Linked DNA regions of Arabidopsis thaliana. The protein of the gene in region 2 purifies or fractionates together with the protein of the main gene of each other region. This does not show direct contact. Each region holds a gene or a part of one and is shown on either strand. Other genes may lie near its edges.

What was found. Proteins that work in one complex are often made in the same cells at the same time.
Region 1: the proteins of AT5G19510 (region 2) and AT1G57720 fractionate together in Arabidopsis thaliana (co-fractionation; one large-scale study listed by BioGRID). This does not show direct contact.
Region 3: the proteins of AT5G19510 (region 2) and AT1G09640 fractionate together in Arabidopsis thaliana (co-fractionation; one large-scale study listed by BioGRID). This does not show direct contact.

What each region holds. Positions count from the first base shown.
Region 1 is NC_003070.9:21,375,696-21,380,918, reverse strand, and holds AT1G57720 (Translation elongation factor EF1B, gamma chain), read right to left. Parts: upstream 3,600-5,223; 5' UTR 3,199-3,599; intron 3,185-3,198; exon of another isoform or gene 3,096-3,184; 5' UTR 3,047-3,095; coding exon 3,038-3,046; intron 2,763-3,037; coding exon 2,613-2,762; intron 2,535-2,612; coding exon 2,474-2,534; intron 2,381-2,473; coding exon 2,328-2,380; intron 2,217-2,327; coding exon 2,115-2,216; intron 1,977-2,114; coding exon 1,490-1,976; intron 1,185-1,489; coding exon 805-1,184; 3' UTR 540-804; downstream 1-539. Other genes in the region: AT1G57730 (RING/U-box superfamily protein), read left to right, coding at 1-61. UniProt on the Arabidopsis thaliana protein: Probably plays a role in anchoring the complex to other cellular components.
Region 2 is NC_003076.8:6,581,113-6,585,052, forward strand, and holds AT5G19510 (Translation elongation factor EF1B/ribosomal protein S6 family protein), read right to left. Parts: upstream 2,137-3,940; 5' UTR 2,026-2,136; coding exon 1,940-2,025; intron 1,850-1,939; coding exon 1,733-1,849; intron 1,640-1,732; coding exon 1,570-1,639; intron 1,354-1,569; coding exon 1,230-1,353; intron 1,117-1,229; coding exon 1,003-1,116; intron 906-1,002; coding exon 742-905; 3' UTR 588-741; downstream 1-587. Other genes in the region: AT5G19500 (Tryptophan/tyrosine permease), read left to right, coding at 2-86, 186-314, 391-587. UniProt on the Arabidopsis thaliana protein: EF-1-beta and EF-1-delta stimulate the exchange of GDP bound to EF-1-alpha to GTP.
Region 3 is NC_003070.9:3,117,896-3,123,081, reverse strand, and holds AT1G09640 (Translation elongation factor EF1B, gamma chain), read right to left. Parts: upstream 3,344-5,186; 5' UTR 3,074-3,343; intron 2,966-3,073; 5' UTR 2,921-2,965; coding exon 2,912-2,920; intron 2,695-2,911; coding exon 2,545-2,694; intron 2,457-2,544; coding exon 2,396-2,456; intron 2,296-2,395; coding exon 2,243-2,295; intron 2,124-2,242; coding exon 2,022-2,123; intron 1,912-2,021; coding exon 1,422-1,911; intron 1,310-1,421; coding exon 930-1,309; 3' UTR 540-929; downstream 1-539. Other genes in the region: RAB11c (RAB GTPase 11C), read left to right, coding at 3,511-3,675, 4,244-4,732. UniProt on the Arabidopsis thaliana protein: Probably plays a role in anchoring the complex to other cellular components.

The sequences.
Region 1 (5,223 bases), on a different chromosome or scaffold from region 2:
CCCTCTCTGCCGCACTGTTCTTGAAGATGAAGATGACGACGATTATCCCTACTACTCCTAAACAGAGTCATGAAGATTTCTTTTTTTAGGGTTTTTAGGTTAAGAATGATGATTTGTTGATTTTCTTGAGATGATATTGTAATGATTCGATTTGTTTGAGATAATATAGTAATGATTCGATTTATTTGATTTTCTTAAGACAAGATCTTAATCTACCTTTTGTTTATTTTGGTCATTAAACTCTTTGTAGAGAACGAATTAGGTTTACTTGGTATATCTTCTCATCTTAATAAACTTGAGTGATTTTAAGCCTCTCGGACCTAATATCTATGAACATGTTCAACATACACTCTCCTTATAAGCTCACCTCATGGCTCTATTTCTTACACCTATCTCTTAAATGTTGCTGTGTAGACCAACATTCGATTGGCTTAAAAGGAATTTGGGTTTTAGTGAACATATCTGAATCATCAAGTTAGAGACGTGTTAGAGACAAGTTAGAGACGTGTAATATTACAACTTTAAAATGAAATTCAGTATGCCCCATTAAACGAGATTCTTTGCATCTTCCAAGCAACTAATTTAAAGAGAGAATGTCACACACACGAGTTTGGATAATAAAAAACAAAATAAAAACAATAACTAGAAGTTGTAATGTATTTAAGAACAATATTCTGTCAAAATAACATTGAGAAGCAACTAGTTCTTAAACCCGAGTACGATTCAAAAGGTGGTAAGGACTCTCTAGAAGGTATCAAAACACGAGTAACAGAGTAAACCTCTACGGAGATACAAAGAGCCTTTTCACTTAAAGCATTTGGCGTCCAAAAGAGCCTCGCCTTCAAATGGCTCAGCGTCTTCAATCATCTGGCTAACACGCTCCTTCTGTGCTTCATCGGAGATATCAACCTTAGTCCACTCGTACAGCTCCATGTCGTACACCTCATCCATTATGAACTTGGGGATCTCTGGTCCACGGAAAAGCCATAAACCCTTCACCTTGAAAGGACCCTCTGACCCGCAAATAAGCATCTTTCCAAAGGAGTATTTACGTGCCAAGTCCATACGCTGAAGGAACCCTCCTACCTTGTTGAGTGTAACAAAGGAGACCATGTTCTCATCGTTGTACTTATAGTCACAGAACCATAGTGAGTACCCCTCCGGGTCATACATGTCCCAGAATCCTGCAATGAAGAAAAACATTCAAGGCATTGAGCTTAATAGAATGTACTTTCAGACTCTGGGCCATACATGTCCCATAAACCATAGTGAGTACCCCTCTAAGTCTACTATATCTAGCTTAGGAGGCAATTTAGTAGACTAGAGCAGCTGTGAATTGTTTAGAGAGTCGTTAGTAAGCACTGGTATTATAAGGATGTCACAGCACATTGTCTCGGATTTTTGTAGCTTTCTTCTTAACAAGTTGATTCCATAAACCTAGAACAATTTCTTCTAAAGAACAATTAACAGAAGTCATCATATAACATACCTTTGATAGCAACCTCACGGAAGTTGGATTTGGTGTTCGAGTAAAGCCTCTTCCAGTCATCGAGAACCATTGGGCTTGGTGGTAGCAAGTCAAGAGGATTCTTGGCTTTAGGCTTTGGTGCTTCCTCCTCCTCAGCAGGCTTTGGTGCCTCTGCTACAGGGGCTGCCTTCTTGGGCTCCTCCTTGGGCTTAGCAGGCTGTGGAGCTTTCTTAGTAGGAACTGGAGGGACAGCTTCGGTTTGTTTGGCATCACCCAACACCTTCTTGAATTCTGGCTGGTTAACCATTGTCCAGAAGTATCTCTCAACATGAGGGAATGCAGAGGTAAATTTCTTGGTCATCACGGTGGCAAATCCCAAGTTCAAGTTGCAGATTGTGACAATATCAGCAAGGGTGACAGAGTGTCCAACAAGGAAAGTGTTGGAGGCGAGATGTGTGTTCAGAGCCTCAAGTCCTCTCTTCAATGCAGAAATTGCCGCTTCCTCAGCCTTCATTCAGATAAAACCATTAAAAAGATTAGTCAAGCTTAGACTAGTCAAATACTAATCTTAGCGAGTAAGGAGTAGCATGATTTGTTAGTACAGAGAGTGCATGAGACAAGGCACAAAAAATGAGGGAAAGCTTACTGGGGCAGAGAAGGGAGCATAGCCCATTCTTGGAGCAAACCACTTCAACATGTTAGCATCAATCTCCAATGAGGAGAAATCGATCCATTGCTCAATGTGAGCCTGAAAAGTAAACACATGCACATAGACATGAATCAATGATAGTAAACAAGAGATAAACACAAAGGTACGATAATTTTAAAAGGAAAGGCCATTGGATAAACAGGAGCTTACGTATTCAATAAGGGAGGATCCATTCAAAGAGTTGTCACCATTCTTACGGCTCACTGAAGGGGGATAACAAAACAATCATCATATCCAATTAATACCAAGTTATAGATAGGTGCATCAAAGAGAAACAGAAGGAAATGAAGTTATACCATATCGGGCAATGGCATTGCTCTCAAATATGGGACCTTCAGGAGTCTCAAGCACAGGAACCTAGTGGGATCATAATCTTTTATTAGCTAGGAATTTACAGCAAACATCAATCAAAACTTCTCGAAAGAGATTCCATACCTTTCCAATAGGGTTCATCTTAAGGAACTCAGGTGACTTGTTAGTGACGCCCATCTGAAAGTCTGCGGACTCCTCGATCTTCACACCCGCATACTCTGCAGCAATAAGTGCCTTATTGGCACCTTTGTTTCCCTTGTATGTGTGCATGACCTGATAAATAGTATGATTTACACAAACTTCATCAATGAAACTCAACAGAAATTGCATAGTTATATTCATCCAAAGTAGTTTTTCAATGCAACACAAAATCCAGTTCTCAGATTAATAAACAATCGTCCAAGATACCTAAATCATTCTAAAATCAAACTATATTCCCAGATTTAAGATACATGAATCAAAATTCATAAACTATCATCAACAGATCAGTAAAACCAATCGTGACGGATCTGATGAAACGTGTAATGATCTCAGAAGTGAGTACTTACCAACGCCATTGCTCAAACGGAGAAGATATACGAACTCGGAGATTTTCTGAGTTCAGATCTAGTTACCAAAGAAAACACCAAGTAAAAATCAGTTAATCGTCGATGAAATTTTGAAACGAGAGAAGCGTATATGAAGAAGAAGTTGATAGATTGATTCTTACGAGAGACTTTCTGCAAAAACAATTCCGAGAGAGCAAAGCGAGAGAGAAGAAGATACAAAAGCGGCGGCGAGAAATAGTATTAGAGTGTGGAAATTAGGGCTGTGTGAAGTCGGTTTTGGAGAATATTCCTTTTTCGTTTGATTCGGTTTAGCTTTTGGTTTTGTCAAATTTGGTTTGCTTATTTTTAAGGTTTAAACGATTATAACTTTTGCATTTATGTATAACATAATAAAAATTAGCGTATTGTTTTACCCAAAGTAAAGTTGGAGTTTTGTTTTTGCATTTTTTGACAGATTTTGCTGACATTTCCCCATGGCCATTTTGATATGTAGTTTAGTTGGTTGTATCCATATCCTTGGTGTGCCAAACTCGCATGTTGTTGAAAAAGAAGAAAAAGAAACACTAGTTCATCGAAATTCGTAGAAGCAACCTCACAAAGTTACTTCTCTGATTCATGTCTCTATGTGGTTTCTTCCTCTCCAAGATATCCTAAACGACAACCAAAAACAAAGTTTTAGACCATACAAACTAAACTTTAAATCCGAAAATGATATATCCTTTTTAAAAATAAGTTGTGTTGTGCTTTTTAAATTCAAAAGGGTTATTAACTTATTATGCAAGATTGATCCATAGATGTAAACTAAAACGTTACCACGTACAATGCCAATTAATATAATTAGGTTTTTGATACACCAACTCCAAGTATGGGTTTGAATAAATACAAAATTGATGAATTTTGTAACCCTTCTTTCACTTTGTGAAAATGAAATAAAATCTTTTAATTAAGTAGCTTCCAAAACTATTAGAGGGCATTATTGGTAGGTCCACTAAACTATGTTATTGTTCGTATGTCATACATATATAGATGTTTTTTTATTGAGTTCGATTTCTTCTACGAAGTTTACAAAATTGGTTACCTTCCACAAGTCTTTGCGTATCATTTCTTCACAACTTACTCCTTTTGGTCAACAGTACCAACAACTTTAATTTCAAGCATCTTCCGCCTCTTCTTCTTCTGCACTGCGTTTACTTTGTGTGACCAAAAATCCAAACTAAAGATATGGAGGTTCCAATCTGGCAATGGTGTTTGATCGTCATAGTGATCATATTCTTGGCAATTGCTTCCCATTTTCTGGGAAGAATCTTGTGTAGCCCTCGAGAGAGAATCGCAGATAGTAAAGCCGAGAAAAAACATGGACCAGCCGAAGCAGACAAGACTGCGAAAGGTGGCTCCGACCAACTCGTGTGATGATCTCAAAGAGCATGCATATATCGTCAAGTTTGGTTTGTAATTTGTAAGTTCATTTTTTTTTTTACTATTATTGTAAAATAATACTAATTGTTCACATCCATATATACATATATGCGTAAATATATATATGTGTGTGATCAATTCCAATTTAAAAAAAAAGAAGCATTGGAGAGAACACTAGTAAGCTCTTAAATTTGTTTTCAATTAGTCATCAACTCATCATCAAGTCTAAGAAACCAAAATGTAATTCGGGTTTACAACATTGCATGGTTAGCTTCATATTATGGGAAATTAAACTTTGATAGTTAGACCAAAAAAAACAAAAAACGTTGATAGTGTTGACCTTGGTGATGGAAATCAAATGAAATCAACTTTTAACCGTGGGTTGGCTATGTGCATATCGGATTAGAACCGATAATTGAGCTGCTGTAGACTCGCTTTAGGTTTGGTTTAATGTCCATGTTATGTTAAAAGGCTGTTATAATTGTTGAAACAAAGTTTTACAACAACCAAATTAAAAAAAAAGTTGTTGTAACAAAGCATGCTATAAAAAGGTAGAGCAAGGATCCATCTTGTGTATGATATATATATACATTTTAACATATGTAATTTCGTGTGAGAAATTCAGTTACTGAGAAGATAGTGAATTGCAAGTATTACGTAACGTAGGGATCTCAATCAAGTCCCGAAATCGTAAAAGCCTCACGTCTTTTCTTCTTCCTATTTCTTGGATCCTCTGTTCTTGTTCTGTTTTTCTTTCTTTGGTGGTTCTT
Region 2 (3,940 bases):
GCCGTTTGTGGAAGCATTCTCTCTTTTTGCAATCGCAACATCTTATATAGGGTTTGTCTTAGGCCTCTCTGATTTCTTCTCTGACTGTAAGTATCATCAAACAATCAAACTTTTATGTTTTTCTACTAAATCTACAGCCATGGAGACATAACTGTATAATCTATTCTTTCATCGAAAACTTTCAGTATTGAAGCTCCCGAGTGGCCAGAACAAGCCTCTTCTTTACTTGCTTACTCTCGTTCCACCGCTTGTTCTGTCCCTACTGGATCCAGAGATTTTCTTCAAGGCCTTAGATTTTGCCGGGACATATGGAGGTAAGTCTCTTCTTGAGAAACCTGAATCAACAAGTTCAAACATGAAAACCTAACAACTGTATGTTCTCTTTCGTAGTTCTGGTATTGTTCGGAATCCTCCCAGCAGCAATGTCTTGGTCAGATAGGTACATAGTCTCATCATCAACAGTGACAAGATTACCTCAACTTGTTCCCGGAGGAAAACTCACCCTTTCTCTGGTTATGGGAGCTGCAGGATACGTAATTATTTCTGAAGTAATAGAGAATTTGTCAAAGTATCTAAATGTTTCTTAACAATGATGCAACGGAATAGTAACCATTGAAAATTTAGTGTTATTGTAACATGAAAGCGGTCTTGCAACTAGGAAAGAAACATTTCGGTAAACAACACAAACGAAAACAAAACTTGAAATTCAGATATGTTTCGGTAAGGAGAAATTTGAAGTCTCTAAATCTTGTTGAAAGCGACAATGTCACAACTCTGGATGTACTCGTTGTTAGGCTCTGAGGTGAGGAAGTCTTCAATGAGGTTGTCCGGGGACACGAGGTCATCAACAATCGTGAACATAATTGTGAGTTTCTTGATCCCATAACCAACTGGTACAAGTTTTGCTGCAAGACAGGGAGAAAAAAAATATCAATTATAAAACTGTCTCACCCAAAGAGTAACAAGCTTACTCTGATATAAAGATTGAAAGTTTAAACGTACAGGCTCCCCAGAAAAGACCAGGCATCTCAACACCACGAACAGCCTCTTCCAGTTTCTTCATGTCGGTTTCATCATCCCATGGCTTAACATCCATGAGCACAGAAGACTTTCCACCTAACAAAGAGTTCAAAATTCAAAAGAGAGTTAGAACCCTTATTAAAATTTAAGATGCAGTTACTAATTCACATGCTTGTATATGTACTATCGAATTCAATTAAGAGGCTTACTCTCTTTAGGCTTCTTGGTGTCCTTCTTAGCAGCCTCCCTCTCCTCTGCAGCTTTCTTTTCTTCTTCGGTCTCGTCACCAAAGAGATCCATGTCATCATCATCATCAGCTGCAGCTGCAGGTGCCTGTTGACAATTATGCAAGATAGCGTAAACACACACACACACACACAACATTCCAAACCAAACTCCAATCAATTCCCCTACCAAACATAGCTCGTGATCCCTAATACAAGATTGGAAATATCACCTTTCAAATCATAGTTCCAAACTACATTCATTACCCTTTTTCTAAGGTCTACGACTATGGTAATAAAGAATAAAGCATTCAAGTAAAGGTACCTCAGCTTCAACAGCTGGAGCAGCAGCAGCAGAGCCACCGAATTGTACTCCAACGGCCTTTCCAGGGAAACTGCAACAAATCAAAACTCGTCAATTCCTGGAAGATCAATATACAAATCCAAATCTGAATCGATTATTACAAAATTCCGAAAAAAGGACGAACCTTTTAGCAAGTTGGGAAGCCACGGACTCGTACCACTTGCTAGCATTGGGGAAGGCATCGCTGGGTTTCACTGGAACGGCAGCGTAAACCTTGACATCATCCACAGACAATTGATCTCTGCAAATTCAAACTCTCTTATACGTCAAAACGGGAATAGAAACAATCGAATCGTGTCGCAAAAACAATAGGAAAAGTGAGAAACTTTACCCGGAGATGTAGGTTTTTCCGGCGAGGTGCTCCTCCACGGATTTGACACCCTCCTCTGTGTGTAGATCTGAAAAGGTAACGGCCATTGTTGCTGAGTTTTAGGGTGTGAGGGAGGTAGAGAGATCAGAGAGACTAAGCTGCTGTTGAAACCTAAAAGAGTATATCCTGAGCTGTGAGACTCTGAGAAACCCTAAACCCAAATAAACTGACAAATATTTGGGCTTATTTATGGGCCTTCAAAGTGGCTCGTTCCCAAAGAGAGTCCGGAAAAAGTAAAATTAACATTTAGGTTGTTCTTTATTTGGAAAAAAATAACATAGGTCTCAACTCTCAAATAGGTAAAGGTATCTACAAAATTGGAAATAAACAAATTAATGATAAAATTTATTCTTCCCAGTTTTGGGTATAGAGTGAAACCTTGATATGAATGAATTGTAATTTGTACTATTTTGTATATATGTAAATCTGTAATGAAAAGTAAAATATTTTTGATGAATTTAAATTTACTTGACTCCGATTGATCATACTAAACCAGAGCTCATTTTGGACTTAGTTTGTGTTATTTTAGTAACTAACTTAGACAATTATGTAATGTCATGTGTATATTTTAACAGAATTTGAGTGTCAATTCTCTTCCCAGATATGGCAATGAGTCACTACCATGCTGCATATTTATAGTTGGCTCCTTCATCTTGGAATCAACTTCTCTTGGTTGCTGCATGATACAACAGATAAAGCTTGAGTCTGCTCCAAGGATGGCGATTTATGAAACTTGGAAGGAACATAATCACCATTATCACCTTGACATTATACACTACAACCTGATGTTACCGTTGTCCCAAAAGACCAAGAAGATCTCTCTAAACAAAGCTTAGGCTCTGCTTCGATTGGGGTCCCTTACTTACTTAGTGATGTTGGTTTGATCAGTAGTTATCAACTTACCACTTATTAGTTTGGTGAAACGATGGTTGAGAATTTGTATATTTCTTTGAATGCTACATTTATAGGGTGTTTATTTTCTCTTCTATTTTTTGGTTGATATGGTTCATGTTTAATTCTTTTATAAACTTTATTTTGTTATTGCAAACAAATCCTTTGCCAATAAAAGAAAAATGTCAAAGTGTACATATTACTGGTCACTGTCACGTTTGAGTTTTATGTTTTGGTCCATATATCGTTTGAGTTTTATGTTTTGGTCCATATATCACCTTTACTTTCGACTTGTGAGATTAAACACTTGATGACATGACCACATTACGTACCTACAAATTGTACATAACATTTGGGAAAAAGATGTATTCAATATTTGGCATCTTTATAAGAAAAATCTATTAATTACAAATTTACATTTTTAAATAATAAGCTTAACGGCTAAATGACATAGACACAAGATAACATTAAAGTAGTTAAATTCAAATATCCACGCATTGAAATTATCTACTACTATTTTTGTTGTCGTCCTTTAGTACTCATAAAAGGATAGGTTCAATTTTGAATAATTGAATTCGGATTTGTTCGATGCGAGTTATTTTAAATATCCTACCGTGCACATTAAAATCATGGGAAGAACTAAGAAGATAGGTACGTAGTTTACACTCAAAACAATATAAAAGTTGATTTTTTCATCGAAATGCCAAATTCGTCTTTAGTCTTTACCGAAATTTTAATATATTTCATTTGTGAAAATAACGGTAAAACCAAGGACTGTGTCTGTATATATTCTTGCTGTCGCCTTTGTCTTTTCTTTTCAACTCTTATTAAGTGGTACTATTATATTACAGTTTTTAAAAATTATAACTACATTACTACTATATGATTTTTGTGCAATTTAAGATCTATGATATTAGCCAGACCCATTCATAAGCAGCTGTAGCAATTCTGCATTAACTAACCCTTCTCTATTTGTTCGTTAACCAAGCTAATGCGACTTCTCATTTCATGTTGTTTTTTACGTAGATCACATGCATTGATCACATCATTTTAACTAAATGACACTGAATT
Region 3 (5,186 bases), on a different chromosome or scaffold from region 2:
CTTCTGGTGGAACAACTTTTGATGTTGAAATTAGAAAAAGGGAAAAGAACAATTCGACCACCCAGATTTTCTTTACAGGATTATATGCCTTGTAGCAGTAAAGAACAATTCATTTCGCTTGAGACCAACTTTATTAAATACGTCATTAATAAATTGATATACACTACCTTTCTTTTCTTATTTTGTGACCAATCTAACATATAGTAATATTTTTGGTAGTTACCAATCTAACGTATAATATAATTATCTATACATTTCTCAGCGAAACAATAATTTTTTATTTTTTGGTCAAACAGCGAATAATAATTATAATCAGCAATTTGTATATATAATCTGATACGAAAAATATTATGAACAAATGTTACATTATTTTGTCATAAGTTACATGTTCTTTTATTAGAGTTGTGTGGCGTATTAAGTTGTCTACCTTTTTTTATTCGTTAGTTAATTTCGAGATGAACATGCCAGTTCTTCTTCTACGAAATTAACTAGACTTATTATTCTTCAAGAGTTTGCTTTTTCAGCAATTTTTAAAATTGGAAAAATGTTCAATATATGTGCCAAAAAGACTTTACCACTAAATGTTCAACTCAAAGACCAATGTATATAAGTTGACCGAAACGCGTCAAAGAAAATCAATCAAGGCAAAATTACCGTAAAACAAATAAACCAGACCATGTATTGCCTATTGCCAGGGTAGACTGGCCGGTCAGGATTTCGAAAACTGGTATAGTAAACAATTCTGGACGGAGGCGAAACATTAACAAAGAACTAAAAAGACTTGTCCTTGACACTCGATTAGAAAAGAAAAAAACAGTCTATGCGACACGTCACAGAGCAAAACCCCTATGTGAGACAGACAGATAGAAAGATATGTAAAGCCCCAGCTGCAAAACCTGTAAATGGAAGTACCAAACCATTCTCTCTTCTCACTTGAAGCACTTGGCGTCCAAGAGAGCCTCACCTTCAAATGGCTCTGCGTCTTCAATCATCTGGCTAACACGCTCCTTCTGGGCTTCATCTGAGATATCAACCTTAGTCCACTCATACAGCTCCATGTCGTACACCTCGTCCATTATGAACTTTGGGATCTCTGGTCCACGGAACAGCCATAAACCCTTCACCTTGAACGGACCCTCTGACCCACAAATCAGCATCTTTCCAAAGGAGTATTTACGTGCCAAGTCCATACGCTGAAGGAACCCACCAACCTTGTTGAGCGTGACAAATGACACCATGTTCTCATCGTTGTACTTGTAGTCACAGAACCATAGTGAGTATCCCTCTGGGTCATACATGTCCCAGAATCCTGCATTTGAGCCACAATATTAGACATGATAAAAAACAATTGATTCCAATAGCTAAATAATTCCCTGATAGCAAAGCTGAAAAACTAGGTAGAGGAAGATATCACCACACACCTTTAATAGCAACCTCGCGGAAGTTAGATTTGGTGTTTGAGTAAAGCCTCTTCCAATCATCTAGAACCATAGGGCTTGGTGGTAGCAAGTCAAGAGGGTTCTTGGCTTTGGGCTTTGGTGCCTCTTCCTCTTCAGCAAGCTTAGGTGCCTCTGCTACTGGGGCTTCCTTTTTCTTAGGCTCTTCTTTGGGCTTTGCAGGCTGGGCAGCTTTCTTGGAAGCAATAGGAGGGACAGCTTCAGTCTGTTTGACATCACCCAACACTTTAGTGAAGTTTGGTTGGTTAACCACAGTCCAGAAGTACCTCTCAACATGAGGAAATTCAGAGGTAAATTTCTTGGTCATGACAGTAGCAAATCCCAAGTTCAAGTTGCAGACAGTGATGATATCAGCAAGGGTAATAGAGTGTCCGACAAGGTAAGTGTTAGACGTGAGATGTGTGTTCAGAGCATCAAGTGCTCTCTTCAACGTAGAGATCGCACCTTCTTCAGCCTTCATTTATATAACAATCACGGATGAGACTATTTATATAGTGAAAAGAATACCTAGATTGCCATCACAAAGAGTGAATGAAACAACCAATGAAAGTCAAAAAAGCTTACCGGAGCACTGTATGGCATAAAGCCCATTCTTGGGCCGAACCACCTCAAGATACTTGCATAGATCTCCAATGAAGAGAAATCAATCCATTGCTCAATTTGTGCCTGCGAAAAAACAACATGCAGATAACCATTGAGAATACTAACAAATAGAATGACAAACAATAGAAGAGGTGTCAATGGATTAGAGAAGAGTAGCCCCCAGGGAAAAAACAGCTACTTACATATTCGATCAGGGAGGATCCGTTCAAAGAGTTGTCACCATTCAATCGGCTTACTGTATTGAGATATCAACAGATCCATTAAACCCAAACGACAACAAGCAATCAAACTAGACACTGAGAGACAATTAAAGGAGAAAGTTATGAATGCTTTACCATAACGGGCAATTGCGTTGCTTTCAAATACTGAACCCTCGGGAGTCTCAAGTACAGGAACCTAGCAAGATCAATAACTCTTGGTTAGCTGAAAAATAGACTTAATAATACTCAGTCCAGAAATTTAGCAAACACCAGTGATGACAAACCTTTCCAATAGGGTTCATCTTGAGGAACGCAGGGGTTTTGTTAGTGACACCCATCTGAAAGTCAGAGGGCACATCGATCTGCACACCAACGTACTCTGCTGCAATGAGTGCCTTCTCAGCACTTTTGTTTCCCTTGTACGTGTGCAAGACCTGCAATCGTAATTCATCATCAGCACAATAATACGTATTCCAAATCAATAACTTAACAATAGAGTAGCTACATATCCAAACTAACATAATTTTAATCAATTTGGTGTATGAACAATCGTTCTATAAACTTAGATCCTAAAATTTACAAATCTAACGTTTCTACAATTATATCGATACATGATGCGATCGTAACAGTAGACAATCATAGAGAACTCACCAAAGCCATTGCTCAGACGGAATTCAAGCGAACTTGGGGCTTCTGATATCGGATCTGGTTCCAAGGAAAAAAAATCAAGCAGTGAGCTCGCAATTGACATGATCATAAATATGAATATGAGCTAACTGGAGAAAAAAAGATTGTTCGATCGATGGATCTTACCAGATATTCTGAAGAATCTTCCGTGAGAGCAAATCGAGAGAGAAGAAGCAAAAAGTTGAGGCGGAGAAAAGCTATAAAGGAGTGTTGAAGGGATGATGATGAAGAAGTAGGGTTTTTAAAATCTGTATTGAGTGTATTCCTCTGGTTTGGCTCGGTTTTGTTTGGTTTTATTTCTGATTTTTGTTTATTTTCCGGTTAAGCTCTAATTACTTTCCCTTTTATTAGCATGTATAAATGAATTACATATATGTAGGCTTTTTTAGTAAGCCCAACTTGACAAGAAAAGGTCTTCGTCGTTGGGCAATAACAAGCCGAGAAGGTTGAATAGAGAAGATCCAAGGGGAAAGAGAAATTAAATTATTTATTTATTTCTGTCATCTTCTCCTTTTCTATTTCAAAATCCCAAATCTAAAGCACTCCTCGAGAAAAGTGTAACAATGGCGAGAAGACCGGACGAAGAATACGACTACTTGTTTAAAGTGGTTTTGATCGGAGACTCCGGTGTCGGCAAGTCTAATCTCCTCTCTAGATTCACTCGCAACGAGTTCTGCTTAGAATCCAAATCCACCATTGGTGTCGAATTCGCTACTCGTACTCTCCAAGTACGCACACATCTCTCTCTATATATATAGTATATAGTGTAATCGAAATGTTGCTGGATCTAGGTTTAGTTCTAAGTTAAGCAGCATCCGGTGCTTTTCGATTCGATCCGTATCTGTGTTCGTATGAATACTCGGAAGCAGTCATTGTGTGTAGGAACATTTGGGCTTGGTTTTGAATTTTGATGTTTACATGTGTGGTGCCTGTTTTTTTCATTTGGTCGAGATTTTTGCTTTGGTATCTCTTAATTTAAGCGTTTTATTGATAATGTTCCCAAATTTGTCGATACTCTGGTACGTGGTAGTGTAAGGCTCCCTCACATGTCAGATCTAAAACCTTGTTTAAGGCAGATCTAAGAATCTCTTCATCTGAAATTGATCTCGAACATGATTTTCTTTTGAAGTATGAATCATGGTTGTTGTTTCACAGTTTCTAGTTTTCTTACTGGGTTGTTTGTGGAATTTAGCTGCGAAGTTACTAATTTTGTTGTTGCAGACACACTAATCATAGAGTCTGCTGCTCATTAGATCTGAATTAACCTATTAAAAAACCTATGATCTTTGTTCTAAGGTGGAAGGAAGGACTGTGAAAGCTCAGATATGGGACACGGCTGGGCAAGAACGATACAGAGCCATAACTAGCGCCTATTACAGAGGTGCACTTGGAGCTCTTTTGGTCTATGATGTCACCAAGCCAACAACGTTTGAGAATGTAAGCAGGTGGTTAAAAGAACTAAGAGACCATGCAGATTCCAATATAGTGATCATGTTGATTGGGAACAAGACAGATCTGAAGCATCTCAGAGCAGTTGCCACAGAGGATGCTCAGAGCTATGCAGAGAAAGAAGGCTTATCTTTCATCGAGACATCGGCTCTCGAGGCATTAAACGTAGAAAAGGCTTTTCAGACGATTCTCTCGGAGGTTTATAGGATCATCAGCAAGAAGTCGATATCTTCAGACCAGACAACTGCAAATGCCAACATCAAGGAAGGCCAAACAATTGATGTGGCTGCTACTTCTGAATCAAACGCTAAGAAGCCTTGTTGCTCATCGTCTTGAAAGGCTTTGTTTGTGTTGCACTTAAAAAAAGCCAAATATCTATGAGACTTTATTTCAAGGCTTGCGTTGTATTTGTTTTCTTTCTTTTTTCTGTTGTTGATAATATAACTCAAAGATAATTTTTTATATCAATTGTGGAGTTCGGAATCGTTCACACAAAACAAATTTTGGAAACGAAAAATATTTTTAGGGAATTAATTGTAGTTTTGAGTGGTAGTTGTAATGTAGTATCAGAAAAATAAGCAGAGTATAAAATGAAATAAACAAATACCAACGTAGACTATAGTTTGAATTTTTAATAGAGCAGAAATTCTTCGATTTCAAAGATAATTTAAATAAAGTAGACAAAATCACACAATATACATTTTTCAATCAAGAAGAAATGGAAAAGCAAAGAAAGGAAGTTAATTAAAAAAAAGGGGGAAAAAAAAAACGGAAGTCAACAAGAATACAG